Linked DNA regions of Cricetulus griseus. The protein of the gene in region 7 purifies or fractionates together with the protein of the main gene of each other region. This does not show direct contact. Links are inferred from orthologs where the notes say so. Each region holds a gene or a part of one and is shown on either strand. Other genes may lie near its edges. The genes, in order: Rbm17, Phf5a, Snrpd2, Snrpa, Snrpb2, Snrpd1 and Sf3a3.

Region 1 (3,500 bases), on a different chromosome or scaffold from region 7:
AAAGATGAAGCTATGGTTTCATTTGTATTTCATTTTTGGAAATACCTGTTAAATTTAAAATAAGCAAATAAATGATTATCATAACCCCTGTTATGCAAACTTTGGGGTTTATGTTGTGATTTTGCATTTGTATGACATGTTGTTTGCTTAAAGCACTGTTAAAGCTTAGACTCCCTAATAAGAATGAAAGTTTGTACCACAACTTTTCGTGATCACCATCATTCCATTTGACCAACCATGGCATCTTAGCAACCTGAGAACTTGATGTAGTTCACCAGCTCACTGTGAGACATTCTTGCCTACAAGCTTTACCCTGAGTCTAACCAGCTTCTAGAAATGCCAGACACAGAGTTAGCTGTGTTATTGTAAGTTAGCTAGAGGATCTAGAATAAGCATTCATAAGAACGATATCCCAGGGGAAAAACAAAGATGGTAATGGTGATAGGTAAGAGGGGCTGCTAAAGATTGAGACACGGATCAAAAGTACATTTTAAACTTTGTTTAAAAAAAACAAAACAAAGACTAGCTGTTTAACATGCACTTTGAGGATGGTGAGATGGCTCAGTGAGTCCAGCCTGATGACCAGAGTTTAAGTAGAACCCTATGGTACAAGGACAGACTTGTCCCTCCAGTCCCTCTGACCTCCATATAGTCACTGTGGTATTTGCATGTAAACACACATGCATACACACCCAAGTAAGTATATAAGTAATTTTAATTGGTTGAGTAAGGTTATACTAAAAGAAGTAGAGTAGAAGCTTGCCTTGGAAGGCAGAGAGGTGGATCCCTGCAAGTTTAAGGCTATTCAGAAGGTGGTCACATTTACTGTAAACTTTATAGAAAAGTGGAGGAAATCTGCTTTTAAAATGACCAAAAAGAATGGAGATATAACTCACTTGGTAGCATGTTTGCCCAGTTTTCAGTAAGTCCTGTGTTAAATCCCCAGCACTGTATAAACTGGGTCTGGTGATATATACCAGCACTCAGCAATGTGGAGGGAGGTGGATCAGGAGTCCAAGTTCATCACCAGCTATGTGGGGCACTGGAGGCCAGCCTGGGTTACTTAGGACCCTTCCTCAGAAAGCACTTAAGGACACTATACTAAAGACTGTTACTGTTTAAAATGATGGTTTTATCACAGGCAGAGGCTGGTTATAGAGAGTAGAAAAAGTGTCTGTGTTGCAAGTAGCATGAATTTTAATTTGGAACATTGGTATGTTTTTCTTGTTTCTGATGTCAGAGTCAGCGGACAAAACAAAGTACAGTCCTTGCCCCAGTCATCGACCTAAAGCGAGGAGGCTCCTCAGATGACCGGCAGATTGTAGACACACCACCTCATGTAGCAGCTGGGCTGAAGGTAAGCCTGCACATGCACATATCTGTGGCTTTAATGCATTTCCTGTTTGCTTTACACATATTTTCCTCTATTTTTTAAGATTGACTTTTTTTTTTTATCTGTGTGTGTGGTATGTGTGTGTCAGTGTCTGTGTATCTCTGTGTGTGTGTGTGTGTGTGTGTGTACCCTTGGAGGCCAGAAGGGGACATTAGATCTCTTGGGGCTGGAGTTAGGCCCAGTAAACACTCTGGTGTGGGTGCTGAGAACCAAATTCTGGTCCTCTGATAGAGAATAAGCACTCCTAACCACTGAGCCATCTCCAGCCCCACACAAGAGTCTCCCCAATAGGCCGTTGAAAGAGAGTTTCATTTCCAGCTCAGGTTTTACTTTGCTACCATCAAAACCTTTATTCCTTAAAATAGTTGATTTTGAAAACAACAGGTGTGAAAGATGGGCAAAAAAGAAAAGCAGGTATCTTCTTAATCATACTCTCCAGGCTTTAAAAGTTACATAATTTTAAGCCGGGTGTTGGTGACACATGCCTTTAATTCCAGCACCTTTAATCCCAGCACTCGGGAGGCAGAGGCGGGCAGATCTCTGTGAGTTCGAGGCCAGCCTGGTCTCCAGAGCAAGTGCCGGGATAGGCTCCAAAGCTACACAGAGAAACCCTGTCTCGAAAAAAAAAAAAAAAAAAAAAAAAAAAGTTACATAATTTTAGAATATCTTTCTTGGATGAGTTCTACCTTTTGTTCTCTAATTTCCTTTTCTTAATATATCAGTGAGTGTCCATCTTTGCCAAAAATACAGAACAATGTGGTTATTTAGAAATACTTGTATATGTATGAGGTTTTTGCCTGCACTACATGTGTACCTGTTGCCTGTGGGGGCACATTCCCTAGGACTGGAATTACAGACAGTTGTGAAAACCATGTGGGTGATGGGAATCAAACTTAGGTTCTCTGAAAGAGCAGGCAGTGCAGTCATAGCAATCAAGCCTGGTCTACAGAGCGAGTTTCAGGATAGCCAAGGCTACACAAAGAAAGCCTGTCTTGAAAAACAAAACAAAACAAAAACTTGAACATGGTGCTGCATGTCTTTAACAGGACAGGGCTCCAGAGAGGCAGGGGGATTGGGAGTTGTCCAGGCTCACCTTTGGCTCTGTGCCTAGTTTGTGGCTCTGTGAGACACTGTCTGGAAAATGATAATCCACTTTTACATGTATTTTCCTGCAGGTGTCATTCGAATGATGACTGTGGTAGTTTAAAACTCACTTAAACAATGATTAAGTTCATGAATTGTTTCAGTTTTAAGTTCTACAGTGCTTTTCTAGGAATAATTAAGCTTTTGCTTGATTGCCACAATATGCTGCCACCTGGTGAGATGTAGTTTGCTATGAATTGTTTACTCATCTAGGAAATATAAGATCCTTAGATGATCACGAAGGTCTCTTTCATCATCCTTTGACCTTGATTCTATGATAACCCTGCAGAATATGAAGATGGTACTCACTTGAATATTTTTCTTCCTCAGGACCCTGTTCCCAGTGGGTTTTCTGCAGGGGAAGTTCTGATCCCCTTAGCTGATGAATATGATCCTATGTTTCCTAATGATTATGAGAAAGTAGTGAAGCGCCAGAGAGAGGAGCGACAGAGGCAGCGGGAGCTGGAAAGACAGAAGGAAATAGAAGAAAGAGAAAAGTAAGTGTCGTCTTGATTTGGGAACAGATATCTTGTTAATGTACATTAGAATGTGAATGAATTTCTGTGTTGTCTCTAGGGGTGGGTTTATGGTTTCAATCTTCAGGAGTTTACTTGTTTGGTTTTTTTTTTTTTTAATGTATTTAGCCTACAAGTAAAGGTTACTTACTTCACACCTCCCTATTTTTTTTTAAGATTTTATTTATTTATTATGTATACAACATTCTGCTTCCATGTATATCTGCACACCAGAAGAAGGCACCAGATCTCATAACGGATGGTTGTGAGCCACCATATGGTTGCTGGGAATTGAACTCAGGACCTCTGGAAGAGCAGTCAGTGCTCTTAACATCTGAGCCATCTCTCCATCCCCGAGTTTACTTGTTTTTAAGAATTTGTAATTGTTCTGTCCCATTGTCCCCAAATAAACTTGAGAAAGTTTATTTATTTATGGGCTCTAAAAAACC
Region 2 (4,202 bases), about 350 Mb from region 7:
CAAGCTATAGCACTATCGTGACACCGTGAAAGTCAGAACTTTCATCTACTTTTTTGCAGTTTTACTATCTATTGAGTTGGAAAAAAATCATCTGACATCTATGTTGCCAGAAATATGTAAATCAGGTTATATTAGTGAACAGTCTTGACATCTGGTGCAGAGAGGAACCACTGTTATCATGACTATGGACTATACTGGTGCTCAGAATACTCTACCCTTCTTGCATCTATGACCCCAGGTGTCCTCAAAAGGTAGTATTGGGTATAGCTTCTGCAGACTCCAGGCCCGAGAACCACACATACAAACGGCTGGCAAATCTCTGCTGTTAATGGGAAGTGAGGGCTTCAAGCACCTGGCTTAGAGGAACCCACAACCACCGCGCCCCCCAGTAACCTTGTCATCACCTTGAGAACAGAAAACCACACTGGGGGGAGCGGGCAATTCGGCCCTCAGGAAATGAGGGGTGCCCTCATCCTTTATCACACTGCGGATGCTTAGACTCAAGCTTCCCGCTGGGCGGGGACGGGGACTGGGCCTGGGAACTGACTGTGCCAGGGACACCTTGACCTAGGACAAGGCAGGAGCGGACAAGGACGCTGGGCCTGCAACCGGGACAGGTTCGCAAAAGTCAGCCCCAGGTTGAGCCCGCCTCGCGTGGCCTCGCCTACCGCCGCAGGCAGAGCTCCCCGCCCCCGTGAACCCACACATCGGAGCTCGCTCACCTGCAGCCGGGTCACCAGGAGGCTGTAAGGCGCCATTTTGTGCACTGACAAAGATGAGGTCGCGTGAAAGTGACGTGCCACAGGGCGCTTTTGAAGTGCTTGGGAAGGGGCGTGGCCTCCAAAGCGGCGCGTCACGGTGAGGGTGGGGCCTTCCTCCTCGGAGCCGGAGTCCAGAGAGCGCAGTGGGCGGGGCTTCCATGACGGGCACAGCGCGAGAAAGAAACTGCCAGCTTGTCAGTCTTTGCACTTGGGGACGGAGACGGCAGCGGAGCCAGGAGTTCAAGGTCATCCTTCACGCCTTGAGACTCAAAAGGGAACCCCCAGACCACATATTTTGCGGAAGCATGCGTGAGGCCCTGGCCTCAGCCCCGAGCACAAAAAGTACCATGTGTACAAAAGTTTTTTGCGAGACAGGTCTGGCTGGCCTCGAACTCAGAGATCCGCCTCCCGAGTGCTGGGACTAAAGGCGTGTGCTACCACCAACCAGCCATATGTAGGAATTTTATCCAAGACAAAAACACTTAGTTTATTCGTTCAAATCGGGAGGGAACAAAAACTTTATTATAAAGTCTTTGATGCACCTGCTAGGGGTCCAGCAAGTTCACGCTGAGAAAACTCGCGAGAACTAGCGAGATTTGGTGCAACGAAGGGCAAAAGCTGATGGGCACCTTGACGGCCAATCACGATGGAGAAGTGGGTGTAGGAACGGCGTAGGTTAAAGGTCGAGCGGAAGTTCTCTAAGCTTCCGGCCGCCGGCTTGGGGACGAGTGATGGCTAAACACCATCCAGATTTGATTTTCTGCCGCAAGCAGGCTGGTGTTGGTGAGTTGGCTCGCCGCTCCCTTCCGTTGGAGTGGGATGGTGTTAGAAACGGGAGAGTGGGGGGTTCGCTTCCTCTTTAGGGCCTGGCCTTGGGGGCTCCACGTTTCGCGCCTTGCGGTCCCTGGGTATTCTGGGGGTGCGCCCAGGTTTGTGACTTGTGATAAGAAGGCAGGATCGCGCGTCTGGGAGCCTGAAACTGGGGGCAGCGTCTGCGCTAGGTCTGGAGAAGCCGTCCCAGGTTGCTTTGAGGATTCCGGACAGGGCGCTGGTGCAAAGCAAAACTTAGGGGCTTAGGCCGGGCGTGGTAGTTCACGACTGTAATCCCAGCGCCTGGGAGGCTGAAGGCAGAAGATTGCTGGGGGTTCGAGGCCGACCTGAACTACATAAGAAGTTCCAGGCTATAAAACGGGAATCTGTTGGGAGGAGGGGCGTGGAGAGGGGAAAAAAAAGGATAATAAGACAGCTATTCTGCTCACTGTAGTCATTGCTACCTGCCCCATCCTCTATCCCAGCTTTGAGGAACAACTTCCTTGCTAAATCACCATTTTGATTTTAACTGTGTTTTTTCTTGCAGCTATCGGAAGACTGTGTGAAAAATGTGAGTGGAACATACCCTCTCACACATTGCCTTCTTTCTTTGTTTTTTGACGAGCCAACAAGCCATTTATTCCAGAGGAGCCCTAAAGAAGCATTGAGTGGATATGCCAGACTGCAAAGAACACTGAATCTCTGACTACAACCAAAGGCTCCCCACCAGACTCCCACTTTAGCTTGCATACTTTAATATTTCATACTTAGGTTGTGGGGGAAAAATACTTTTGGACAGTAAGAACTATCAGAGTAGTGTGAACCTTCCCAGGCCAATGTTTGTGCAAGAAGGCATGCAATTTGTTGATGATAACTACATAGACTTAAAAGCTCCTAGCTAACACGTCAAAACTCTTCCCATTTATATTTTGAAGGAAACTGAGGTAGATGGTAGATATAAGATAGGGTGGATGCTGTCAAGATAGAGAAAAGGCCTGAAGTCACAGTCAAAGGGAGACTGGTTATTTCACCCATAGAATAAAGATCTTTAGGAAGTAATCACTAGTGAATATAACTCCATTCCTCTTCCTTTGCAGGTGATGGCAAATGTGTGATTTGTGACTCCTATGTGCGACCCTGCACCCTGGTTCGCATATGTGATGAGTGTAACTATGGATCTTACCAGGGCCGGTGTGTGATCTGTGGAGGCCCCGGAGTCTCCGATGCCTACTATTGTAAAGAATGCACCATTCAGGAGAAGGATGTGAGTGTAGACTTGAGCATTCCCTCCTGGCCTTTCTTCCTTTTTCTTTGGACCATTTTGCCATCCATGTCCATCTCTTCTGGTCTATGGAGACTGCAATGTTCAGCTAGTCATGTAGGTAGAGGTTATTATCATCCTCCTTTTATACTCTGTCCCAGGCTATCTGACTAAATCTGGTGTCCACATTACATCATGTTATGCTTCTCTAAGACCTTCTTGGTGTGTGCTCATGATGAAGAGAGCACCCAGCCTCCTCAGCACTCCACATGTGGATGCTACCTACCACCAGTACCCGAAGCCAGATAGGGCTTTAAGGAGGGAGGGGGGTTGTTCTACGTGGTGCGGAAGGTGATCTATGATAGCTGCATTTTCAGTTTTGATTGACTTTATCATCAAATCTCAAATCGGGTCTTACCACATCCAGCAGATATTGATTGGGGAAGCCACATTTAGGCATTAGCTAGAGTTCCCAACTGAGAGCTTTTTCTCCATGGATGAGCTCCAGGCTTTTCTTACTGCCTGCATGCAGTTTATGCCACAGGACATACAAATGATTCCTGTTGGGTATATCCTCACTGTTCTCAGTGCTGCAGAGTTTGGTTGTGTTTGGTTTGGTTGAATTTCTTTGTTACATCTATTTGTGTGGGTGCATGTGGTATTAAGAGGACAGCTTGCCTGGAGTTGGTCCCACACACACACACACACACTAGTGAGTATTTTGGCCCACTAATACTTTTATGTGCTTACTGTTTTTCCCTGTCCTTCTTAGAGAACCAGATTGGTGCTTGGCCCAGAATGGAGTTTTAGAGCAGCTGAAAAGTATTGTTTACTCTGTTGAATCCACTATTGTTTGGGAAAAGGGGAATGTTGTTGATTAAGTATGAAATCATAATTTCAGTTGGTGGTTTGAACATTCTCCTGCCCTAAATGCTCTTTCCAATTCTTTAGACAACCAGAACTCGATTGTATTCTGTCTTCCACAGCTGTGGATTATGTCCTCCATCTTTCCTTTTTCTCGGGTCTTGGTAATAGTGCCTAATCTGTAATACAAGGATGGTGCTCTCTTTTTGGTACTGTGCCTATAAAGTGTTCCTGGGAGACACTCCCCACCCTGGGCATTTGTTATTTAGGAACTGGGAAGTACTGGGTGTAATGGAAAGAGGAGGGACACACAGTTCTCAAGCTAAAGGGTCCCTGAAGAGACAACACTTTCTTGAGCTTTCAGAAATGTCTAGAGTCTGTTTCTGACTTAAGCTTGGAACCAGAGGATGCTTGCTAAACAGTAATTGCCATCTCACTTGTCTGCATGCGCCCTGTGATCTGATACCTTTGGATCCCTGCCCCTCATTCTGCTCCCTGAGAATTAT
Region 3 (4,047 bases), on a different chromosome or scaffold from region 7:
AGCAGGGGACGCAGGAAAGTGCCCCAGAGACGCTGCGGATCCAGCTGCCCTACCACCGTCCGTAGCTTGGCTTCCGGAAGGCTTCCAATCAGCGGGACCTTGGTGGGGAAGAGAAGAATGAAGACAAAACCCCCCATCCCCACCCTCTCCTGGGCGCCGCTGCCCCCTGGGAGCCCTGACTCTTCTTGGTGGTGCAGCAAAGACTTGGAGTTCACATGCATACACCCTAGAGCGGGAGGGCGTCTTCAAGGCAGATCTGGCCCCTGCTACTATTAGAGCCCTGACGGGAACCTTGCAAACAGATGTCTTGGGGCGCGGAGCTCAGATCTGCCCGCGTTGCTAGGCTGACCGCCTGCATCTCCAGGACGGCGAGGCAGGGGCGTGCGCTTGCTTGAGTGATGGAGAAAGAGATGTCACCCGCTCGGCACGGGAAACGGAGGAGGGACCGGGGCCCCAGGCAGGCCTCACCCGCAGATCCCGGCTGCGTGACAGCTCCTGAACCTCGGGGTGCCAGCCGTTCCAGACCATGAAGAGCGCCAAGCCCAGGGCGAGCGCCAAGAGCAGCAGGGGCAGGAGCTGCACTCGCGGCAGCAGGCGGCGCTTGGAAAGCGAGGGCGGCTGCATCGCGCCGCGATCCCCGAGCCGCTGCCGGGGCCGCCCGCGGCTCCCGGGACTCATGGCAGCAGCGGGGCCCCGAAGCCGGTCGTCCCAGACTGAGGTTTGAGTCCAGGCCAGGCTCCGCCCCTCCCCCCTATCGCTTACGCAAGCCAATAGGGAAGCAGAGCGGCGGCGGCATCGTCGCGCAGACGGCCGCGATTGGCTCCTTCTTCTCCAGAAGGCGGTGCGCAGACCCGAGGGCCCGCCCCCCACGCAAGAGGCGCAGCCAATGAGTGGCGGCTGACCGTGCGGAAGCCGCGCCCGCCGCCCTCAGGTGTCCATCAAGGAGAAACGGGCGGCGCCCATCCCTGAAGCAAGGAGGCGATTGGCTCGCTCGAGGCCACGCCCCCCCAGGAGGAGGCGGGCGCCGCGCGCTTGGAAACGGAGCTGTGTGTCGTGTCCCCGCCTCCTCCCCGCCCCCGTTCTTCTTCCACCCAGACGGGGAGTTAATTCGAGCCAGGCCCGGCGGCTCCCCCTTTTTGTTTAGTCGCGAGCGGGGGGGTCCCCCTATTGTGATCCTCACTGACATGGAATCCTCCCTCCAGGCATTTCCTACGGCAGAGAGCCGCCGCCGGGTCGCTATGGCAACGTGACACGCCCACGCCGCTGGGGCGGGTTGCGCAGGCGCCGACGGAAGTGATCCCAGAGGAGGGAGGCGGAAGTCCCGCCTTCCGCTCGCTCTACTCCGGAGGCTACACGGCAACGCGGCGGAGGCGGGAGTGAGCTGCGATCGAAACCTCCACCATGTGAGGCCGGGCTGGGCTCCCGCGGGGACGCGAAGGTGGAGGGAGGGACGCGGGCGGCTTAGCAGGTGGACTGTCGGCTTGGGGTGCTCGTAGCGGGGGCAGAGGTTCCTCCTGAGGTGTTAGGGGACGGGCGTGGGGCCTGGAAGGACGGGTCTGGAGTTCCGGAGCCGGACAGCTTCTTCTTTCTTTTCTTTCTTTCTTTCTTTCTTTTTCTTTTTTTTTAAAGTTTATTTATTTATTCATCATGTAGACAGTGCGAGCCAGAAGAGGGCACCAGGTCCCATTATAGATGGTTGTGAGCCACCCTGTGGGTGCTGGGAATTGAACTCAGGACCCCTGGAAAAGCAGTCAGTGCTCTAACCTCTGAGCCATCTCTCCAGCCCCCCTCATTTTTATTTTTTAAAGATTTATTTATTTACTTACCATGTATACAGTGCGTGCCAGAAGAAGGCACCAGATCTGGCACCAGATCTCATTACGGATGGTTGTGAGCCACCATGTGGTTGCTGGCATTTGAACTCAGGACCTCTGGAAGAGCAGTCAGTGCTCTTAACCCCTAAGCCACCTCTCCAGCCCCCCTCATTTTTATTTTTAAAAGATTTACTTATTTATTTACTTACCATGTATACAGTGTGTGCCAGAAGAAAGCACCAGATCCCATTACAGATGGTTGTAAATCACCATGTGGTTATATTTATTTATTAACCATGTATACACTGCGTGCCAGAAGAGAGCACCAGGTCTCATTATAGATGGTTGTGAGCCACCATGTGGTTGCTGGGAATTGAACTCAGGACCTCTGGAAGAGCAGCCAGTGCTCTTAACCCCTGAGCCATCTCTCCAGCCCCGACAGCATAACGGGCGTGGGACCCTGCTCTGTACTGAGTCTTGTGAAAAGAGCTGTAAGAGGAAAGCTGAGCCTGGTGGCACATGCCCAAGAGAGGCTGAGTGAGGCAGGAGGATGGTGAATTCGCGCCCAGCCTTGGGCTGCACATGGAGACCGTTTCCAAAAGTAATAGTAATTTTAAATGGGAGCCGTAAATGGATAAAGGTCTCGGCAGGGGAAGGGAGTTCTATTAAAAAATAGTGAAAGGCTCTCCAAAAAAAACAAACAAGCAAAAATCATAATGAGGGACTTAACCAGGATAAGGTAGAAAACAGACAGGGGGGCTTTTTCAATCTGCCTGGAGACTCTCAGAGTAGCAAGCTACTGCCATGGTTTGATGTGTTTATTCACCAAGCAGGTGTTACACAGACTGGTTGTTAAGTTAGACACACGGTGTATAAAAGGTCCGTGCCACCGAGAGAAAGTTTTTCTCACTGGGGCTGGTAAAAGGAATGGGGTAGGAAGACCAGAGAACGTGTTAGATGATGGAGAGTGCGGATGAAGAAATTTGAGTAGCTACCACAAAAAAAAAAAAAAAAAAAAAAAGACTGAAAATGCAACACTGGGCTGGAGTTATAGCTCAGTGGGCAGAGTACATGGCTACCTTGGGTTCTGGGTATAGTGGCAGCATGCCTGTAATCCCAGAGGTCTGGAGGCAGAGATGGATAGTCTGAGTCTCAGGTCAGCCAGGGTTACACAGTAAGACATTGTTGTGGGGATGGCGGGCACCAGGAGAAAGGTAACGGAAGATTAGGCCATGGATAGAAATAGCCAGGTTCTGGATATGTCGTAGAGGCAGATGACAAGATGTGAGGGTAGATTTCCTTTAAGAGAGTGCCGGGCTTGATGTTGAACTCCTGTAATCCCAGAACTTGGGAGGTGGAGTCAGGAGAATTGAGAATTGAAGGTCGTCCTTAGTTATATAGCAAGTTCAAGGCTAACCTGGGCTATAGGAGATCCTGTCACCAAAACAGAAATCAATTAAACAGTAGAGTTCTAGCTTAGAGAACCCGCTGAATAGAGTTGCCATCAGTGAAGACGTGGGGAATGCGTGGGTGGGAGAGGTTTTGGTGGTTAGACAGCTGGAACGGGCTAAATAGACAATGTCTCTCCCACCTCTGAAAAGGACATTTGGGGACCAGGTTGAGGAGACACTGGACAGTGCCTTTGATCACTCACACTTCCAAGCTCACCCATCTCACCCGTGGTTTTTCTATTCAGGAGTCTCCTCAATAAACCCAAGAGTGAGATGACCCCAGAAGAGCTGCAGAAGCGGGAAGAGGAGGAATTCAACACTGGTCCCCTCTCGGTGCTCACACAGTCGGTCAAGAACAACACACAAGTGCTCATTAACTGTCGAAACAACAAAAAGCTCCTGGGACGGGTGAAGGCCTTTGATAGGTGAGCACTGAGTCTGAGGGGCCTGAAGGAAAGGTTATTCCAGAAGCATAATGATAGTAAGTTGGTGACAAACTCCTGTAATCTCAGCACTCAGAGGGATCACCATGATCATGTTAGAGGCCAGCCTCCAAAATAAAAAATCAGAAAGTGTGGGGTGCTCTTTTTGTTGTTTTTTTGTTTTATTTTGTTTTCCAAGACAGGGTTTCTCTGGCTTTGGAGGCTGTCCTGGAACTAGGTCTTGTAGACCAGGCTGGTCTCGAACTCACAGAGATCCACCTGCCTCTGCCTCCTGAGGGCTAAGATTAAAGGTGTGAGCCACCAACGCCCGGCTAAAATTTGTCTTATCTGTCTATCCCA
Region 4 (4,268 bases), on a different chromosome or scaffold from region 7:
CTGGAAGGGCAGAGGCACTATCACTGGCTTAGAACCAAGAATGAGCAGGAGCTGCTCTCTCTATTGCTAGAGGCCAAGCAGGGAAGAGCTAGGTAGGAGGCTTAAGGCACCTGGCTGCTTGAGATCAAGGAAATGGGAACCCTGGGAGATGGGGTAGGCGGGGTGATTTGGAGACAGGTGGTTGGATGAGTCCTGGGGTGCTGGGGGTTTGCAAACCCTACCGGTCCTTGTGCAGCATCAGGAGCCTCTTTACGTCTTCTCTGCCTTTGGGGACTGGGCCAGCCTTCTCCAAGGCCTCCTTCAGGAGCCGGCTCTTCTCCAGGCCGTAGACATGAGGGGAAACAACCTCCACAGCCAAGGGTGGGGGTGGGGGTGGAGGCGGCGGCGGCGGCGGGACAGAAGGGGATGGCGAAGCTAAGTCCAGGGTACTTGGGGGTAAAGGAGGTGGAATGCTGGCGTCTTGGGGTTCGGGGATTACTGGGGGGACTGTGGGCTTTAAGGGGAAAGACGTCATGTCGGGTCTTCAGGAAGAGCTGATGTGAGGGTGAGAAGGGGGATCCTCTCAAATCTCTCAAGGATGGAGACTTCAGTTTTTAGAGCAACTGGATGTGGTATTCACATGTGGCCCGCACATAGAAACCTGTATTAAAAATTACAAAGAGTTTAAAAAAAAAATTAGAGTTGAATTGCAGAATACGGTGCCTGACCAGTTGGTCTGGGAGAACCTGGGTGGGTATTTCAAACCGTGGGAACAGAAACTGGGCTGAATCAAATGACGAAGAAGAAGGCTCCCCCAAGGTGCGGGCTGTGCCATGGGGATGGAGCGACATTGGGAGGGACTAGAGCTAGCTAGTTTTCTTCATTTCCGTAATCAGGGGGCTCAGATCGGGGGGGGGGGGAGTAAGGCGTGGGGTAACCGGCCTCATCTCACATCTCTGTAATCAGGGGGCTGAGATCGGGGGTAAGGCGTGGGGTAACCCGCCTCATCTCACATCTCAGGGCGCTCAGATCGGGGGTAAGGCGTGGGGTAACCCGCCTCATCTCACATCTCCGGCTCGAGTCTGCAACCTTAGGGTCGATCTTAGGAGCTTAGAGGTCATGAGGTTAAAAGGGCACGCGGCTGGGAAAGCAGCCTAGCGGTGGGCAGCGGTCAGAGTTGACAGCAGGCACAGCGGTCAAGGGTCGCCTAAGGAGCGGGAACTTAGGAACTTGTACACGCTCCCCGCGGAGGGAAACGAGCGGCCTTGACCCGGCCAGGCTCTCCCGACGCGGCCCGGCGGCCACGTGACCCCCCCCCCCCCCGGTACTGGCGGAAGGGGAAGAGGCGTGGCTTCGGAGAGGGCAGCCTGCGCTGGCGCGCTAGCGAGGTCCCGATTGGCCCAGAGCTCGTCGCCTCCTTTGATTGGTCTGCTCACCTGGGGAGGGGGCGGGGACTAGTGCTGAGGCGGGAAGCCGCGTGTCCCTTTCGCGGGCGGGCGCTGAGGCCGGGGAAGAGGCTCTCACTCGGGGCGGTCGCCGCCTGCCGAGTTCGCGCGCCGTCAGCGTCTCGCGGCCGGGGACGGGAAGCTGTGTGTCCGAGCGGAGTGGCGTGGCAGGCGCGGCGGTCCAGGTGGTGAATTCCCGCGGTGGAGACGCCCGCGGGCGCTGGGGAGGCGGGCGGAGCACTTGGCGTCGGGCCTTCGGCCGCGTCGCTTCCGGAGGCCCCTCTTGGAGAGACGAAGGTGTCCCAAATCGGTCCCTGCTGTCTTAACTGGCTCCCACATCCGGGTTCCTTTTTTTTTTTTTTTTTTCCTCCTTGGACGCCGTTCGAGCGCGTGGACCAATGGGGATCGCCGCTGGGTACAGGCTCGCAGAGCATTCTGGGATTCGTAGTCCTCCCCCCCCCCAGCACGCGGGCTGGAGAAGCGGAGTCCTACGCGGGCTTTGTTGCCAAGCTGTGCCATTCTTCCCCAATTCCGGTCTCACCCAACTTCCTCCTGGAAGGATCCCTGAGCAGAGCCCGTCAGCCCCCTGAACAGAGAGTTTTGGAAAGCGTTAGAGAGCTGAAGTCGCCTCTTTTTCTCCCTTTAAGCCGTTTCTGAGCATCTGACACCATGGCAGTTCCTGAGACCCGTCCCAACCACACTATTTATATCAACAACCTCAATGAGAAGATCAAGAAGGATGGTAAGTCCTCCGGGATAGCCCGGAACTCTAGGTGATCTCGCATGAGCTGACCCCTTCCACCTCTAGCGCCCACTTTCCTTTCTCAGCCTTGCCATTGAGTCCTTTAAGAGTTAACTTTGGCCTTTTGTACCTACTGAGCCCTTGGTTCTCAATACACCCTTAACCACTTTACACTCTGCTCTTTAACCTGCACACTGTCGATAATCTTCAAGGTTTTAGCTCACCGGCCCTTCCTTTCTGGGAAGCCCTTTGGGATCTTTCTCTCCCTCAAGCCCAGCGCAGTCTGCTATCATGAGACTGTCTCTTGGCCACTGGCCTCTGGGCGTTGGTCTTGGTGATGAGTTACGATGCAAAGAACGTATAGAAGTGACGGGTAATGAATGCTATGTAACAATGTTCTGTAGTCTTGGAGATATTTAATTCTCAACAAGCCTCTCAAGATTAAGAAATTGGAATTTGGGTGGTAGTACTTGCCCGTGATCAAATACCAAGAAAAAAATGGTTGGGACACAAGTGTGCGGTTCTGTTAAGCAAATTCTTGAACTGCTTGAATGGCAGATGGCTGTAATTCTGTTACTTAGGGAAAGGGACTCCCAGAGTAACTCCCAGATGGCTGCATGATCACAATGAGTGAAAAAGATACCAAAGACAGTTTCTTTGGGTGTGGTGGTGTAGGCCTGTAATCCCAGTACTCAGGAGACTGAGACAGGAGAATCTTGACTTCAGACCAGCCCAGGGTACATAGCAAGACCCTGACTCCAAAAGGTCTGAGGAATACAAGTAGTCTTGCCTAGCATGGGTAAGGCTCTGGGTTCTGAACCTCAGCAACTAAGAAACCTACTTGGCCTGGTGAGATGGCTCAGTGGTTAAGAGTACTGCCTGCTCTTCCAGAAGACCTGAGTTTGATTCCTAGCACTCAAGGGAGGTTTATAATGTGTAACTCCAGTTCCAGGGCATATGACATCCTCTTCTAGCATCTGCAGGCAAAATAACCCACGCACATAAAATAAAAATATTTTGGGCTGGCTCACGCCTTTAATCCCACCACTTGGGAGGCAGAGGCAGGCAGATCTCTGAGTTTGAGGTTGGCCTGGTCTACAGAGTTAGTTCCGGATGGGGGGGGGCGTGGAGGGTGTCAGGGGAGGAGGGGGGGGGGGAGAAAGGGACCTGGGATTGACATGTAATTTTCTTCCTAATTAAAATAAAAAAAAAAACCAAAAACCTTGTCTCAAAACAACTATATATTTAAAGGTTGTACAATTTTTATTTGTTTATTGTGTATACAACATTCTGCTTCTGTGTATGTCTGCACACCAGAAGAGGGCACCAGATCTCATAACGGATGGTTGTGAGCCACCATGTGGTTGCTGGGAATTGAACTCAGGACCTCTGGAAGAGCGGTCGGTGCTCTTAACCTCTGAGCCATCTCTCCAGTCCCAAGGTTGTACAATTTTAAACAAAACCCCACACCAAATAATTCCGTTCTTGCCTGGAAGTAAGGTCCTGGAGTAGAATGTTTACTTTTCTACAAAGGCTGAATTCTAGCACACATACAAATAGTAAACAGAAGCAAGTATTTTTATGTATTTATTGTGTGTGTGTGTGTGTGTGTGTATGAATGTGGGTTGTAGTGCTGTAGCATTCTGGGTAATTTGTCACTTGGCAGTGGCCCCTTGTTTGAACTGTTCATCATCCAAGGATAGTTAGTGCAGGTCCCAGGACACAGTGCCCAGGCCTTTTGTTACAGTGTGTCTTGTTTTCCCTGAATGCAGAGCTCAAGAAGTCCCTGTATGCCATCTTCTCCCAGTTTGGCCAGATCCTGGATATCCTGGTGTCTCGGAGCCTGAAGATGAGGGGCCAGGCCTTTGTCATCTTCAAGGAGGTCAGCAGCGCCACGAATGCCCTGCGTTCCATGCAGGGTTTCCCCTTCTACGACAAGCCCATGGTGAGCATCTTGACTATGGAGGCTGTAGGAAGCTGGGTGGGTGTGGCCTGTAGTGTTCCGTGAGGATGCTACTTTTCTTGCTTGGTCCTTTACTTTCAGTGTTCCTTAATCTGGGGCTGTGGGGACACAAAATGATCAAGACACTGAGCATGATGGC
Region 5 (3,500 bases), on a different chromosome or scaffold from region 7:
AACTGGCTCTGTAGCCCAGACTGACCTCAAACTCACAGAGATTTCTGCCTCTCCAGTGCTGGGATTAAATGCTTTCACCACCACCACCACCCTGCTAAAGGTGAAGTTTTATATATGTGTATATATACATACATACATAAATACATACATACATATGCATATATGTATAAATTTTATTTAAATTAGAACAATCTTATTTTACATATCAGTCCAAGTTTGCTCTGCCTCCCATCTTCCCATTCCCCCCATTGACCCCCCCATCCCATCCCCCATCCACTCCTCAGGGAGGGTGAAGCCTTTCATGAGGGACCATCAAAAATCTGTCAAGTCATTTGGGGTAGGGCCTAGGCCCTCCCCTGTGCGTCTAGGCTAAGAGACTTTCCCCCCATGGAGAATGGGCTCCCAAAGTCCATTTGTGCACTAGGGATACATCCTGGTTCCACTGTCAGGGGCCCCATAGACTGCCTAGTCCTCCTACCTGACACCCACATTCAGGGGGCCTGGTTTGGTCCTATATTGGTTCCCTAGCTGTCAAACTGAGGTTCATGAATTCCCACTAGCTAAGGTCAACTGTTCCTGTGGGTTTTCCCAGCATGGTCTTGACTGAGCCGAACTCCTGGAATCCAGTTGTAGAGATGGAGGAGTGATGAATGAAGTTTTAAGAAGCTGGGATAACAAAATTCTAAAATTCTAGGTTTATATTTAAGGAACAATTTATAATACCAGCCTTTACACTTAGAGATTTGCAATAAACAGTACTAATCTGATTTACATATTGTTTTTGACATCTTTATCTAAAACCCTACTTATTGGTATTTTTCTTAAATTCTTCCTATAAATCATATGCAGTCTCTTCATCATGAGTATCTTACTCAGAGCCTCTGAACAATTCAAGAGGCAAAAATTGAAATCCAGTAGAAGTGAAATTATTCAAAAAAGTAGTTACCTCTGAGTTAATTATTTAAATCATTTTGATTCTGTGATTTTGATTGTATAATGCTTATGGTTTTTTTTTTTTTTTTTTTTTAAGTAAGACTCTCTCTGTCTTTATCTCTATTTCTCTATCTCAGCTCTTGTAACCTAGAGGAGTCTGTTCACCCTTGTGACCCTCCTGCCTCAGCCACACAGCACACTTGGTCTCTCCATCATTTAAAGTTTAATGTTAAAGCCAGGTGTGGTGGTACACACCTTTAGTCCCAGCACTGGGGAGGCAGAGGCAGGTAGCCTGGTCTAAATAGTGAATTCCAGGATACCTGAACTACATAGTAAAATCCTGTCTCAAAATAAATAAATAAAAATTCAAATGTTAAGGTTTATGATGTGGTCTATAGAGTTGAGAGACATACATTTCAATTTACAAGCTAAGTAAATAATTTAAGACATCTTAAGGTAAAATGGAATAAGGTATCTTTTACAGTGAATTTAATGTTGATTTATGTTATAAATTGCAGTTGCTTTTTACCATGACTGAAATTCAGTCATTTCTTAATGCCAATTTCTTTTTTGTAGGGAACACCAAATTCGGCTAATACTCAAGGAAACGCAGCACCAAATCCTCAGGTAATGTTTTTCTTCATGGGGTGCTTACCTTAAGATCATAAAAATTATGGCAGTATTAGTGTTCATGTCTGCAAAAGCAAGTAAATCCATTCACAAGACATAATTGCCTGTCACTTTAAGAAACTTACTCTAAGATGAAGAAAACAAAACCAGGCCTGATTTCTGTTTTCCATGAATTGGGGACAAGATCAAAAAGGCAGGGGGTGTAAGGCCTGAGAAAGGGCTTTTGGTTTGGGTCGGGCACTTGTCAGCACTTCACAGACATGTGGTCAGAGGACCTTGGGAGGGGCTGTTTCCACCCCAGGTGTCTGACACTGCCCTGTCTTTCTCAGATTCATAGTGGGCAATGGTGTTTAAGTTTTCTGCTTTCAGTAGAGTCTAAATTATACAGTCTGACGTGTCCACAACTTCTCAGTATTACAGTTGTGTGCGTTTGATTTTTTCCTCTCCTTTGGTGTTGGTGACTGACTCCTGGGCCTAGCCTATGCTAGGCAAATGCTATACCACTGAGCTGTCCAATACCCCTTAGCCCCTCTGAGACAGTCTTGATTCTGCTCTCAAACCTCTCAATCCTCTTGTCTCAGCCTCCTGAGTGCTGGGATTACAGATAGTTGTCACCATACTTGATCTTTTATGATCTTTCTTTCTATTCCTTGAACTCTTTCAGAACTTGTAGTCAATTTACAAATACCAGCACTTAATTCTCTATCTTGAGCTGTTCAATAATTATTTTTTACACTTGATCTTTTCTGTCCATGTAATTAGCAAGTAGACAGAGTTTCTTCTTATATGTAAGTCTTTTATACACTCCCTGTAGACTCAGGATGGGGTGCCAAGCATGTGACTTAATGTCTAATATTCTGCTCAGTTATGTTTGTTTTATATTAGTAGACAAAGTACATGCCATTTACTGTGTACATGCATGCACAGGAACACACAGAGTAGATGCCAGCAGGGTGTGATTGTCAATAGTAATGTTTCAGTTTAGAATGATGAGCTGAGGAGGTCTATGTTGCTGCCTTTTCCAGTTTTTAGACTTTGAATTCTGTATTCCAGGTCACAGAATTCCCCAGTTAGCACTGGTGCTTCACCTATAAATACTGTTTTCACAGAATCATAACCTTCCATACTTGGGGTATCCTAACTTGAATGTTGGCTTCCCTATTGTTAGGTTTTTAATCTGTATCTCTGGCGTCATTGTTTTTAGCTTTTGTTTTAGTGTGTTAAGATTTCACAGGCGCATATAGGCTGCAATGTAGTTCTCTGAAGAAGTTTTCATTTTTTCTCACAGCTAAATACTTCACAGCACAGTTTATATTCACAAGCTAATTTTGCCTTTTGTTTCTAATAGGTCCCTGATTATCCTCCAAACTACATCCTATTCCTTAATAATTTACCAGAAGAGACGAATGAGATGATGTTATCCATGCTGTTCAATCAGTAAGTTCTTTACTAAACAGATCTGTTTGTAGTAGCCTTCTAACAGGACAAATAGTGCTTCTATGGACTGAGTTCATTTGTCACCCCACAGCAGTAGTTCTCTGTAGGGTCATTGATTTAGTCTGGTACTAATCATGGATTGGAGCCTAAGTTAAGCTCTAAGCTTAACGAATAAAAGGATAGATTTTCTCTGTTGGAGTTATTCTAATAAATGGGTAAAACAGGAAACCTTTGACATACTGACAGTTGTGGAATTAGTGTGGACTCTTGCATTTCCTTGATGGTACAATTTTATGTCAGGTGCCTCCATCCTACTTGGGATTCTTGATTGAATGTAATTAGTTTTCCTAGACCAATAGCAAGTTGTTCAACAAATTTATTCTACATTTGCCTGTGTTTATTGCTTTTGTTTTTTCTAGGTTCCCTGGTTTCAAGGAAGTTCGCTTGGTACCTGGGAGGCATGACATTGCATTTGTAGAATTTGAAAATGATGGGCAGGC
Region 6 (4,164 bases), about 200 Mb from region 7:
TGTAAGTCACCCATAAACTGCACACTGCAATTCTGGGCTTGCCTGCCTCCCTCTTTGGTTTCATAGGCCTTGGGACCAGTTCCCACACATCGGGACTGGACTATTTTGTGAAGGAGAAGAAGAAGAAGAGGAAGAAGAAGAAGAGGAGGAGGAGGAGGAAGAGGGGGGAGGGGGAGGAGGAGCACATCATATTAAAGCATAAGACTGGAGATACCGGATGTTGGAGAGTGCAATAAACAGATTTTTTTTTTTTTTGCTTTCAGACACTATGTTCTCCTGAGTTCAGTATAAGTAAATAAATAATTGTAAGTGTGGTGATATTTTGTTTGTGATCTAACAAAGCTTGCCTGCAGATCAGAGTGCAGAGCTGGCCACACTAGTTAGCCACAGATGCCAGGCAGTGATGGCACACATCTTTAATCCCAGCACTCAGGAGGCAGAGGCAAGCATAGCTCTGTGAGATCTGGGATACCCCGGGATACATAAGATTGATCCAGTTTAAAAGAGAAAAAAGAGCCAGATGGTGGTGGCTCACACATTTAATCCCAATACTTTAATCCCAGCACTAGGGAGGTAGAGACAGGAGTGGTGTGGCTGGGCAGAGAGAAGCCGGAGGAGACAGGAGTCTGAGGAGGCAGTCAGTCTGAGGACAGGATGGCCCCTTTGGTCTGAACATTGGTAGAGGTAAGAACTCTAGTGGCTGGCTGTTCTGCTTCTCTGACCCTTCAGTTTTTACCCCCTGTCAGCCGAGTCTGAGGCTTTATTAAGAACAATTAGAATTCATGCTCCATGTAAGAATCAAATATAATAAACTAATATTATCCAATCTTCTTGGGATAGTGGAAATTATCTGCACTGTAATCAATGATACATATAGATTTTGAGTAGTTACGATGTGGTTATTGCAAATAAGGAGTTGAATTGTTTTATTTAACTTCATTTGAAATATCCACATAACTTTTTAAGTCGAAGAACTTACTATATAATGAAGGTCTTATTTAAAACTGTCCTGAGAATGGCTTTCCTGTTTTTAAAAAGGTTCTCAGTAGCTCTGGGGTTATTACAAGTCCCCAAAGGAAAACTATTATATACAAAAATCTGATTGGCTCAGCTTAGTTGTCAAACCAACTAGGAGAAACTTGTCGGGCCGGTTCTCTGCTTCCAACATGTGGGCCCCAAGGATTAAAGAAGTCTTGGAGGGGTTCTCTCAGATCTTCTCTTCCTTCCAACTGTGAAAGCGCCAGGCCATTATAAATAGTTTTAAGGTGAATCCTCCTGCAGATGTCTTCCACCAGCCACGCCGCGCTCAGACGGCGCAAAGCACTCCTCCCGTCGCTAGGGGCCGCTGTGGTTGTCCCGGTGGCCGGAAGGCAGCGCGGCTTCCGCGTTTCCACCGCGGATCCGCAGGCCTCCGTGCGCTCTTCCGGCCATTCATACGCCTAGTCGGTGAGTCTTTGGAGCTCGAATTCCGTGTCCAGTAGGACCAGAGGGAGGCTGCGCCGCTAGGATGAAGCTCGTGAGGTGAGGAGGCTCTCCGGGCGGGCCGAAGGCGGCGGGGACAGGGTTTGGGCGGGCTCAGGAAGCCGGGCCTCTGCGCCCTCAGGGAGGCGGGAAAGCCGCGTGCGCGCGGCCTGCTAACGGCCCCCGCGTCCGGGCCCGCCGCGCCCTTCTCGTTGCTGCCGGCGAGGAGCCGGCGCGCCCCGGCCCTGCGCGTCTTCCAAGAATGGGGGAGCCGAGCGGTTTCTGCTCGCCTCGTTTCCTGCGGCTTGAACGGAGCCGAGGCCGCTTTCCCTGGCCAGTCGGGCTGCTTGCACGGACGAGAACTCCAAAGCAGCATGGTTTTATCTGCAAACAACGACGCCGATCTGCTAGACGTTTTAGATAAAGTTCTCCTTTATTTTGGATCGGTTGTATGTAACTGGTTAATGTTGGCTTTCGACTCACGACAGTGTCCCAGGATGGGGCAGAAGTTAAGTTAATTTCGCCTGATTGCAGATTGTGTCGGTTAGTGGAGCTTTGTTTGCTGGTATGAATACTTCCAAACCAAATAGGCATTAGGCAGAGCCCGAAACAGGGTTTAATGCCTAAGCCAGTTAGAAATATTTAGTTTCTTGTTGAGTCAAGGACTGCTTATAGTCACCTGTTAAAAGTAGTGGTACGAGATTTTTCTTTGTGGTTTTTCGAGACAAGGTTTCTCTGTGTAACAGCCCTGGCTGTCCTGCACCTCGCCATGCTGGCCTCGAACTCAGAGGCCTGCCTGAAAAGGATTCAGTCATTATGCTGGCCTGCCCCTGCACTCACACAGTAGTACCCTGGTCAGCCCAGATGCAAAGCATCCCTTTAAAAGAAAGGTCTCTGTCCACTTATGCTCTCTTACCCGCTTTTTTTTTTCCCTCTCTCTCTTTCCTGCTGTTCCCCTGGGGCAGACAGGACTTTTCTTGTCTTTCCTGTCCTCTCTCTGTCTCTGTGTCTCTAACCCCCCTTTTTTTCTAATAATCTTCTCACTTAAGTCCTACTGCCTGGCATGATGTCCTTTCGACTGGGTCATCCTTGCCTGCCATGGAATCCACAAAGGTCCCCCACGAACATTTATCATAACACTGCCTCTGTCTCCGGAGTGTTGGGATTAAAGGCATGACCCATCACCGTCGGGCTACAAGATTTCTTTCTTTTCTGTTTAATGCTGAAGGCAGAACAGGTAACATCTGGTCTGTTTGAAATGACAAACACTCTGTTCAGGGGGAGTTGGAAGAGAAAGCATATAAGGTTAAAAAAAAAATTCCACCTGTTCTGGGGATAGCGCCTAGAGAGCTTCCAATAATCGCTCTACCTTTGACTATAGCTCCAGTTCTTTTGTATTTGGACTGTAACATTAGGTAGAAAGTCTCACAATTTAAAGTATACTCTTGCTGTTTCCCTGCTGCCTGATGTGAACTATCATGTGTTTGCAGTAACTTAGGTTTTTCCCATTTAAAGATTCTGTTACGACAGCTTTGCTTTTGGGTGGTGGTACCTGGGGTGTTACCTCGACTTCCAGCTAGCGTCCTAGGCAAGTGCTCACTCTGTTACTGATATGAACCCAGCCAGGGCTACACAGAGAAACTTCTCAAACAACAACAGCAATGGTAATAATAAGTAAGAGAATTCACAAAATGAAGGATTCACTGAAAAATTGAGACAGGATGTCACCAGGTTGTCTAGAAGTCACTCCATATCCCAGGCTGACTTCAGATTTGGGATCATCCTACTGCAGCCTACTGAATAACTGAGATTACAGATCGGTGCCTACATGTCTTAAGGGAATTTTTTTTAGCAGACTGTTATCTCCTCACCCACTCCCTTGTTTCTGAAAGAATTTCTGCTTCCTGAGTGCTGGATTAAAGATCTTCACCCCCATACTTGGCAATATAATTTTTTTTAAAGATTTTTATTTATTTATTATGTATACAGTCTTCTGCCCGAATGCCAGCAGAGGCACCAGATCTCATTCAAGGTGGTTGTGAGCCACCATGTGGTTGCTGGGAATTGAACTCAGAACCTCTGGAAGAACAGTCAGTGCTCTTAACTGCTGAGCCATCTCTCCAGCCCCCGGCAACATAATTTTTTAAGGTGGGTTCCTTTAAAAGTTGCTGAAACGCTGGACCTGTCTGGTGGTTTTTTATTATTATTATTATTATTATTATTATTATTATTATTATTATTATTATTATTATTATTATGTGCACGGTGTACTCCCAACCGCAGGTCAGAAGAAGGCACCAGATCCCATTATAGATGATTGTGAGCCACCATGTGGTTGCTGGAAATTGAACTCAGAACCTCTGGAAAAGCAACCAGTGCTCTTAACCTCTGAGCCACCTCTCCATCCCCTGAGTGTTTGTTGTAGTCCAGTGTCACCTATAGAAAGGGCCTGCTGCTTTCCTTCATAGTAGAATAGTGGTGAGAATGGAACAGATAATATTACTTGTGCAGTTTGCTGTAGTAGTTTACAAAGGATATTGTAGAAAGATAGACTAGAAAATCTGAATATGAAGTGTTGTTAGATGCTATTGTAGGATTATCTTTCCATGGCCATTTGGCTAAAATAAAGCATGGGTGATGCTGTAGAATTATTTCACTGCATGTAATTGTGGTATTGTGAATTACAGACTAGGAAGTCAGAAC
Region 7 (4,023 bases):
AATATTGCCACCCTCAAAAGGATTCATTCCTTCTGCTCTTTTTAAGTCACTTCTTATCCCAACCAACCCTTCTCTCATCTTCCCTTTGTCTCCATGGATTTGCTGATCCAAACATTTCATGTGAACACTGTTTCTGTTGTTTTTTTTGTTTTGTTTTGTTCCTGGTTTTTCAAGACAGGGTTTCTCTGTGTAGCTCTGGCTGTCCTGGAACTTGCTCTGTAGTCCAGACTGGTCTCCAACTCAGAGATCCACTTGCCTCTGCCTCCCTAGTGGCAGAATTAAGGGCTTTTACCACCACCACCTGGTGTTTGTTTATTGTTTTGAGATGCTCTCTTACTACAAAGGGCAGGCTGAGCTTGAACTTGCTCCCTTCCTGCCTCAGTCTCCCAAATATTAGAATTACAGGTGTGAGCCACTCTACTTGGCTCCAACTCTGTTCTCAGTGCATGCTGGACAAGCTCTTTATACTGATTCAGATCTCAAGTCCTAATCTGTGTGTTTGTTTCCTGAGTCCCAGTCTCTCCATGTAGCCCTGGCTGTTCTGTAACTCACTATGTAGACCAGGCTGGCTTAGAACTCACAGAGATCTGTCTGCCTCTGCCTCTGGAGCGCTGTTAATCTTTTTTGCTTCTTCCTCTTCCTCCTCCTTTAAAGAAAGGCAGCCTAGATCTCATTTTCTAAGCCGTACAGCCAGCACATGGTAGGCAGAGGCAGAAGAATTAAGGATACGGAGAATCAGAGGTAACCCTGTACTGAATAGCAAGCATTTCATTGCTTGAATATACCACATTTTACTTAAAGAGCCCTCTGCTGATAAAGGTTATTTCCACATAGGAGTTAAGAACAAAACCACCTCCTCACTTTACTGACAGATACTAAAGTCCAGACAAGGAGAAAACACCAGCGGTCACACCCTGAAACTAGAGATTCCAGTTCCTCTTTCCCTTCTTGTATCCTTCAACTTCTCAATCCCGGTCCACATCAGTGAGTCTTGCCGGCCCAGCTGGCCACAGAGAGCCCCAGGCAGCAGTTGCCTCTCACCCTCCGCCTACAGCATTTTTGCAGGCATTCAGTCGCTGAGCATCGCTCCTCCACACCTCCAGCCAGCGGGGGGCAGTGGTACCGACAGCAAGGACTTGCTCTCCGTGTGGTGTTCATTTTTTGAGGTCCCCCAAGGCACTTCCGGAACTCACGGAACTTTGGTGCAGCCGGATGCAGCGCGTTGAGAGAGAGACGGAGGCGCACAAGGCGGCAGGCGCTGCTTCCGGCCGTGTTGGTCGTCTGAATTGAAGCGCCGCGGCGAAGGGAAAATGGAAACAATTTTGGAGCAGCAACGGCGCTATCATGAGGAGAAAGAACGGCTCATGGATGTCATGGCCAAAGAGATGCTCACTAAGAAGTCCACGGTGAGTGGACCGTGGTCGGGAACGCATCCGGAGCCCCTGAGCGCTTTCTTCGGCCTTAGACCCTCCCCGCGCCCCATCTTCGCCTTCCTCCTGGGCTGCCTCTGCGCTCTGGCCTCGGTAACATCCTCCGAGGCCCCAGCAGTCCCTCTGCTTCAGCTCCTGAGACCTAAACCAATAAACTCGTCCTTCGGGTGGCCTTTCCAACCCCCGAACTCAAACTAACAGCATCTGTTTGCCTTTCTCCAGCTCCGGGACCAGATCAATTCTGATCACCGCACGCGGGCCATGCAAGATGTGAGTGCCCCGCTGTCCGCTTCCTTTTAGGTTGGGCTGGGCGGGGAAAGTGCTGGCAGGGAAGGTGCGGAGGCTCAGCGTGAGGACTGCTTGTAGGTGCTGAGAATACCCCGTCTCAGGTTCTTAGACGTAAGTCCTGTCTCTGCCTCCACATGCTGGCATTAACGGTGTGTGCCACCACTCCCCACTCAGGCTGTCTAGAGGAACTTTCAAGAGCTCGTATCTCATGAGGTTTCCTTGGGCTTGGCCAAGAAAGCCTTCGTTGTTTATTTAGCCCTGTCGTTGTACAAATTGCTTCATTCTGATGGATTTGTGTTTGCCTTTCAGAGATACATGGAGGTCAGTGGGAACTTGAGGGATTTGTATGATGATAAAGATGGGTAAGTGACAGTCACATACATCCCCTCAGCAGGTAGAGCTTCTGAGGCGGCATGGTGAGAGGATTGGCTTTGTGCTTTATACTCTTCGGGTTTGTCATTATTTTGCAGACTTCGAAAAGAGGAACTCAATGCTATTTCAGGACCCAATGAGTTTGCTGAATTCTATAACAGACTCAAGCAGATAAAGGAATTTCATCGGAAACACCCAAATGAGGTATGGTCTCCTGAAGTATTTCCCCAAACCTACCCTAAAATAAGAAAAGGTGCAAGGAAAATGGGGGTATGCCATTCAGATGTCACTCCAAGAAAGGGCTTGCCACTTAACTGCAGTGAGCATAGTTAGCTGACATCGTTCCTGACATCTCTCAGCCAGTAAAGGAACACAGTGAAGGCACGAGGGCCTACTTTTTTCTTTCTGATGAGAAATGATTAATTTTTGCTCCAGAGTTCTTTATTGGCTTCATTCAGATTTTGTCTGCATCATAGTCTAGACTCCTTATCCAAACTTACTTTCTCCTTTTTATCTTTCATAAGAATTCTCCCCCACCCAATACACTGTGCTCCTAATTCTGCCTTGAAATCTTCTACCAACACAACATCACTCTGCTCACTCCAGAGTTAATGAACACCTTCAGGATTCATGTCCAGCACCAACTCCTTTATCATATATCTTTTCTGCTAGGCGGTGGTGGTGCAAGCCTTTAATCTCAGGGATCAGGAGGCAGAGGCAGGTGGATCTCTGTGAGTTCGAGGCCAGCCTGGTTTGCAGAGTGAGTTCCAGGACAGGCTCCAAAGCTACACAGAGAAAACCTGTCTCCAAAAAAAAAAAAAAAAAAAACTTTCCTAGACTATCTCTTCCAATGCAATCCTTCCTTAAGAGCCCAGATTTTGTGGTAATGACTGCCTTCCAGTTATACTAAGCAAAGCAAGAGGAGAACAGTAGTAAGCTCCTGAACACCACAGGGCAAATCAGGTATCAGAAGTCCAGTTCTATGCATGCATGAGACACTGATCCACCTGCGCTTTCTCCTTCCCCCAGATCTGTGTGCCAATGTCAGTGGAATTTGAGGAGCTCCTGAAGGCTCGAGAAAATCCAAGTGAAGAGGCACAAAGTAAGTATGATTTAATGTTTCTTTCTGAGAAATTTGAAGCCATCCTGGGCTATATAGCTAGAACCTATCTTCTCTCTCTATCTTTTTTTTTTTTTAAGCCTTTATTTTTATTTTGTCTGTATGGGTGTTTTGCCTGCATGATACCTATAGACAGTGTGTGTGCTATGCCTGAGGAGGCCAGGAGAGGAAGTCGTATCCTCTAGGACTGGATTTTGAGTACCATTTGGGGGCTGGGAATCAGACCTGGGTCCAGGTCTAATATATCTGATATCATTTAAATCAAAAAGTTATGGACAGGTGTCTTTGTTTTGTTTTTGTTTTTCTTGTTGTTTTTCTTCCTTAACTATTGAGCCATCTGTCCAGCCCTTTCTTTCTTTGTTTCTTTGTTTTTCAAGACAGGGTTTCTCCTTGTAGCCCTGGCTGTTCTGGAACTTACTCTGTAGACCAGGCTGGCCTAGAACTCAGACATCTTCCTGCCTCTGCCCTCCCCAATGCTGAGACTAAAGGAGTACCCACCACCGACTGACCGACTGGCATTTATGTTTGTCTGGTTTTGTGATTTTTTTTTTTTTTTTTTGGTGGTGGTGGGTAGTGGTGGGTTTTTTTTTGTGTGTGGGGGGGTGTTTGTTGTTGAGACAGGGTCTCTCTACATAGCTATAGCTGTTCTGGAACTCACTATGTAGATCAGGCTGCTCTTGCTCCCATGTGCAGCTGGCCTTGAACTCATGATCCACCTGCCTCAGCCTTCTGAGTGCTAATTTTAAAGCAATGTACGGGGTAATGTGGAGATTAGATCTGTGTACAAAAATTAGCTCAGTTGGTAGAATATTG

The links.
Region 1: the proteins of Sf3a3 (region 7) and Rbm17 purify together in Homo sapiens (affinity purification with mass spectrometry; 4 studies listed by BioGRID and IntAct, counting the BioPlex papers as one, with this or other methods). This does not show direct contact. The link is inferred for Cricetulus griseus from reciprocal best matches to the Homo sapiens genes SF3A3 and RBM17.
Region 2: the proteins of Sf3a3 (region 7) and Phf5a purify together in Homo sapiens (affinity purification with mass spectrometry; 3 studies listed by BioGRID and IntAct, with this or other methods). This does not show direct contact. The link is inferred for Cricetulus griseus from reciprocal best matches to the Homo sapiens genes SF3A3 and PHF5A.
Region 3: the proteins of Sf3a3 (region 7) and Snrpd2 fractionate together in Homo sapiens (co-fractionation; 3 studies listed by BioGRID and IntAct, with this or other methods). This does not show direct contact. The link is inferred for Cricetulus griseus from reciprocal best matches to the Homo sapiens genes SF3A3 and SNRPD2.
Region 4: the proteins of Sf3a3 (region 7) and Snrpa fractionate together in Homo sapiens (co-fractionation; 4 studies listed by BioGRID and IntAct, with this or other methods). This does not show direct contact. The link is inferred for Cricetulus griseus from reciprocal best matches to the Homo sapiens genes SF3A3 and SNRPA.
Region 5: the proteins of Sf3a3 (region 7) and Snrpb2 purify together in Homo sapiens (affinity purification with mass spectrometry; 6 studies listed by BioGRID and IntAct, with this or other methods). This does not show direct contact. The link is inferred for Cricetulus griseus from reciprocal best matches to the Homo sapiens genes SF3A3 and SNRPB2.
Region 6: the proteins of Sf3a3 (region 7) and Snrpd1 fractionate together in Homo sapiens (co-fractionation; 3 studies listed by BioGRID and IntAct, with this or other methods). This does not show direct contact. The link is inferred for Cricetulus griseus from reciprocal best matches to the Homo sapiens genes SF3A3 and SNRPD1.

Annotation. Positions count from the first base shown.
Region 1 is NC_048596.1:228,368,788-228,372,287, reverse strand, and holds part of Rbm17 (splicing factor 45), read left to right. Parts: intron 1-1,240; coding exon 1,241-1,357; intron 1,358-2,866; coding exon 2,867-3,033; intron 3,034-3,500. UniProt on the Homo sapiens protein: Splice factor that binds to the single-stranded 3'AG at the exon/intron border and promotes its utilization in the second catalytic step. Involved in the regulation of alternative splicing and the utilization of cryptic splice sites.
Region 2 is NC_048595.1:379,006,418-379,010,619, reverse strand, and holds the start of Phf5a (PHD finger-like domain-containing protein 5A), read left to right. Parts: upstream 1-1,402; 5' UTR 1,403-1,492; coding exon 1,493-1,544; intron 1,545-2,118; coding exon 2,119-2,142; intron 2,143-2,668; coding exon 2,669-2,835; intron 2,836-4,202. Other genes in the region: Aco2 (aconitate hydratase, mitochondrial), read right to left, coding at 723-758.
Region 3 is NC_048602.1:28,213,612-28,217,658, reverse strand, and holds the start of Snrpd2 (small nuclear ribonucleoprotein Sm D2), read left to right. Parts: upstream 1-1,247; 5' UTR 1,248-1,401; coding exon 1,402-1,403; intron 1,404-3,510; coding exon 3,511-3,690; intron 3,691-4,047. Other genes in the region: Qpctl (glutaminyl-peptide cyclotransferase-like protein), read right to left, coding at 1-98, 469-678. UniProt on the Homo sapiens protein: Plays a role in pre-mRNA splicing as a core component of the spliceosomal U1, U2, U4 and U5 small nuclear ribonucleoproteins (snRNPs), the building blocks of the spliceosome.
Region 4 is NC_048602.1:8,724,525-8,728,792, forward strand, and holds the start of Snrpa (U1 small nuclear ribonucleoprotein A), read left to right. Parts: upstream 1-1,468; 5' UTR 1,469-1,609; intron 1,610-2,071; 5' UTR 2,072-2,093; coding exon 2,094-2,166; intron 2,167-3,938; coding exon 3,939-4,111; intron 4,112-4,268. Other genes in the region: CUNH19orf54 (UPF0692 protein C19orf54 homolog), read right to left, coding at 222-514. UniProt on the Homo sapiens protein: Component of the spliceosomal U1 snRNP, which is essential for recognition of the pre-mRNA 5' splice-site and the subsequent assembly of the spliceosome. U1 snRNP is the first snRNP to interact with pre-mRNA.
Region 5 is NC_048599.1:35,869,397-35,872,896, reverse strand, and holds part of Snrpb2 (U2 small nuclear ribonucleoprotein B''), read left to right. Parts: intron 1-1,509; coding exon 1,510-1,560; intron 1,561-2,911; coding exon 2,912-3,000; intron 3,001-3,419; coding exon 3,420-3,500. UniProt on the Homo sapiens protein: Involved in pre-mRNA splicing as component of the spliceosome. Associated with sn-RNP U2, where it contributes to the binding of stem loop IV of U2 snRNA.
Region 6 is NC_048595.1:225,869,094-225,873,257, reverse strand, and holds the start of Snrpd1 (small nuclear ribonucleoprotein Sm D1), read left to right. Parts: upstream 1-1,364; 5' UTR 1,365-1,507; coding exon 1,508-1,521; intron 1,522-4,164. UniProt on the Homo sapiens protein: Plays a role in pre-mRNA splicing as a core component of the spliceosomal U1, U2, U4 and U5 small nuclear ribonucleoproteins (snRNPs), the building blocks of the spliceosome.
Region 7 is NC_048595.1:28,350,622-28,354,644, reverse strand, and holds the start of Sf3a3 (splicing factor 3A subunit 3), read left to right. Parts: upstream 1-1,223; 5' UTR 1,224-1,310; coding exon 1,311-1,406; intron 1,407-1,652; coding exon 1,653-1,700; intron 1,701-2,027; coding exon 2,028-2,080; intron 2,081-2,188; coding exon 2,189-2,294; intron 2,295-3,119; coding exon 3,120-3,192; intron 3,193-4,023. UniProt on the Homo sapiens protein: Component of the 17S U2 SnRNP complex of the spliceosome, a large ribonucleoprotein complex that removes introns from transcribed pre-mRNAs.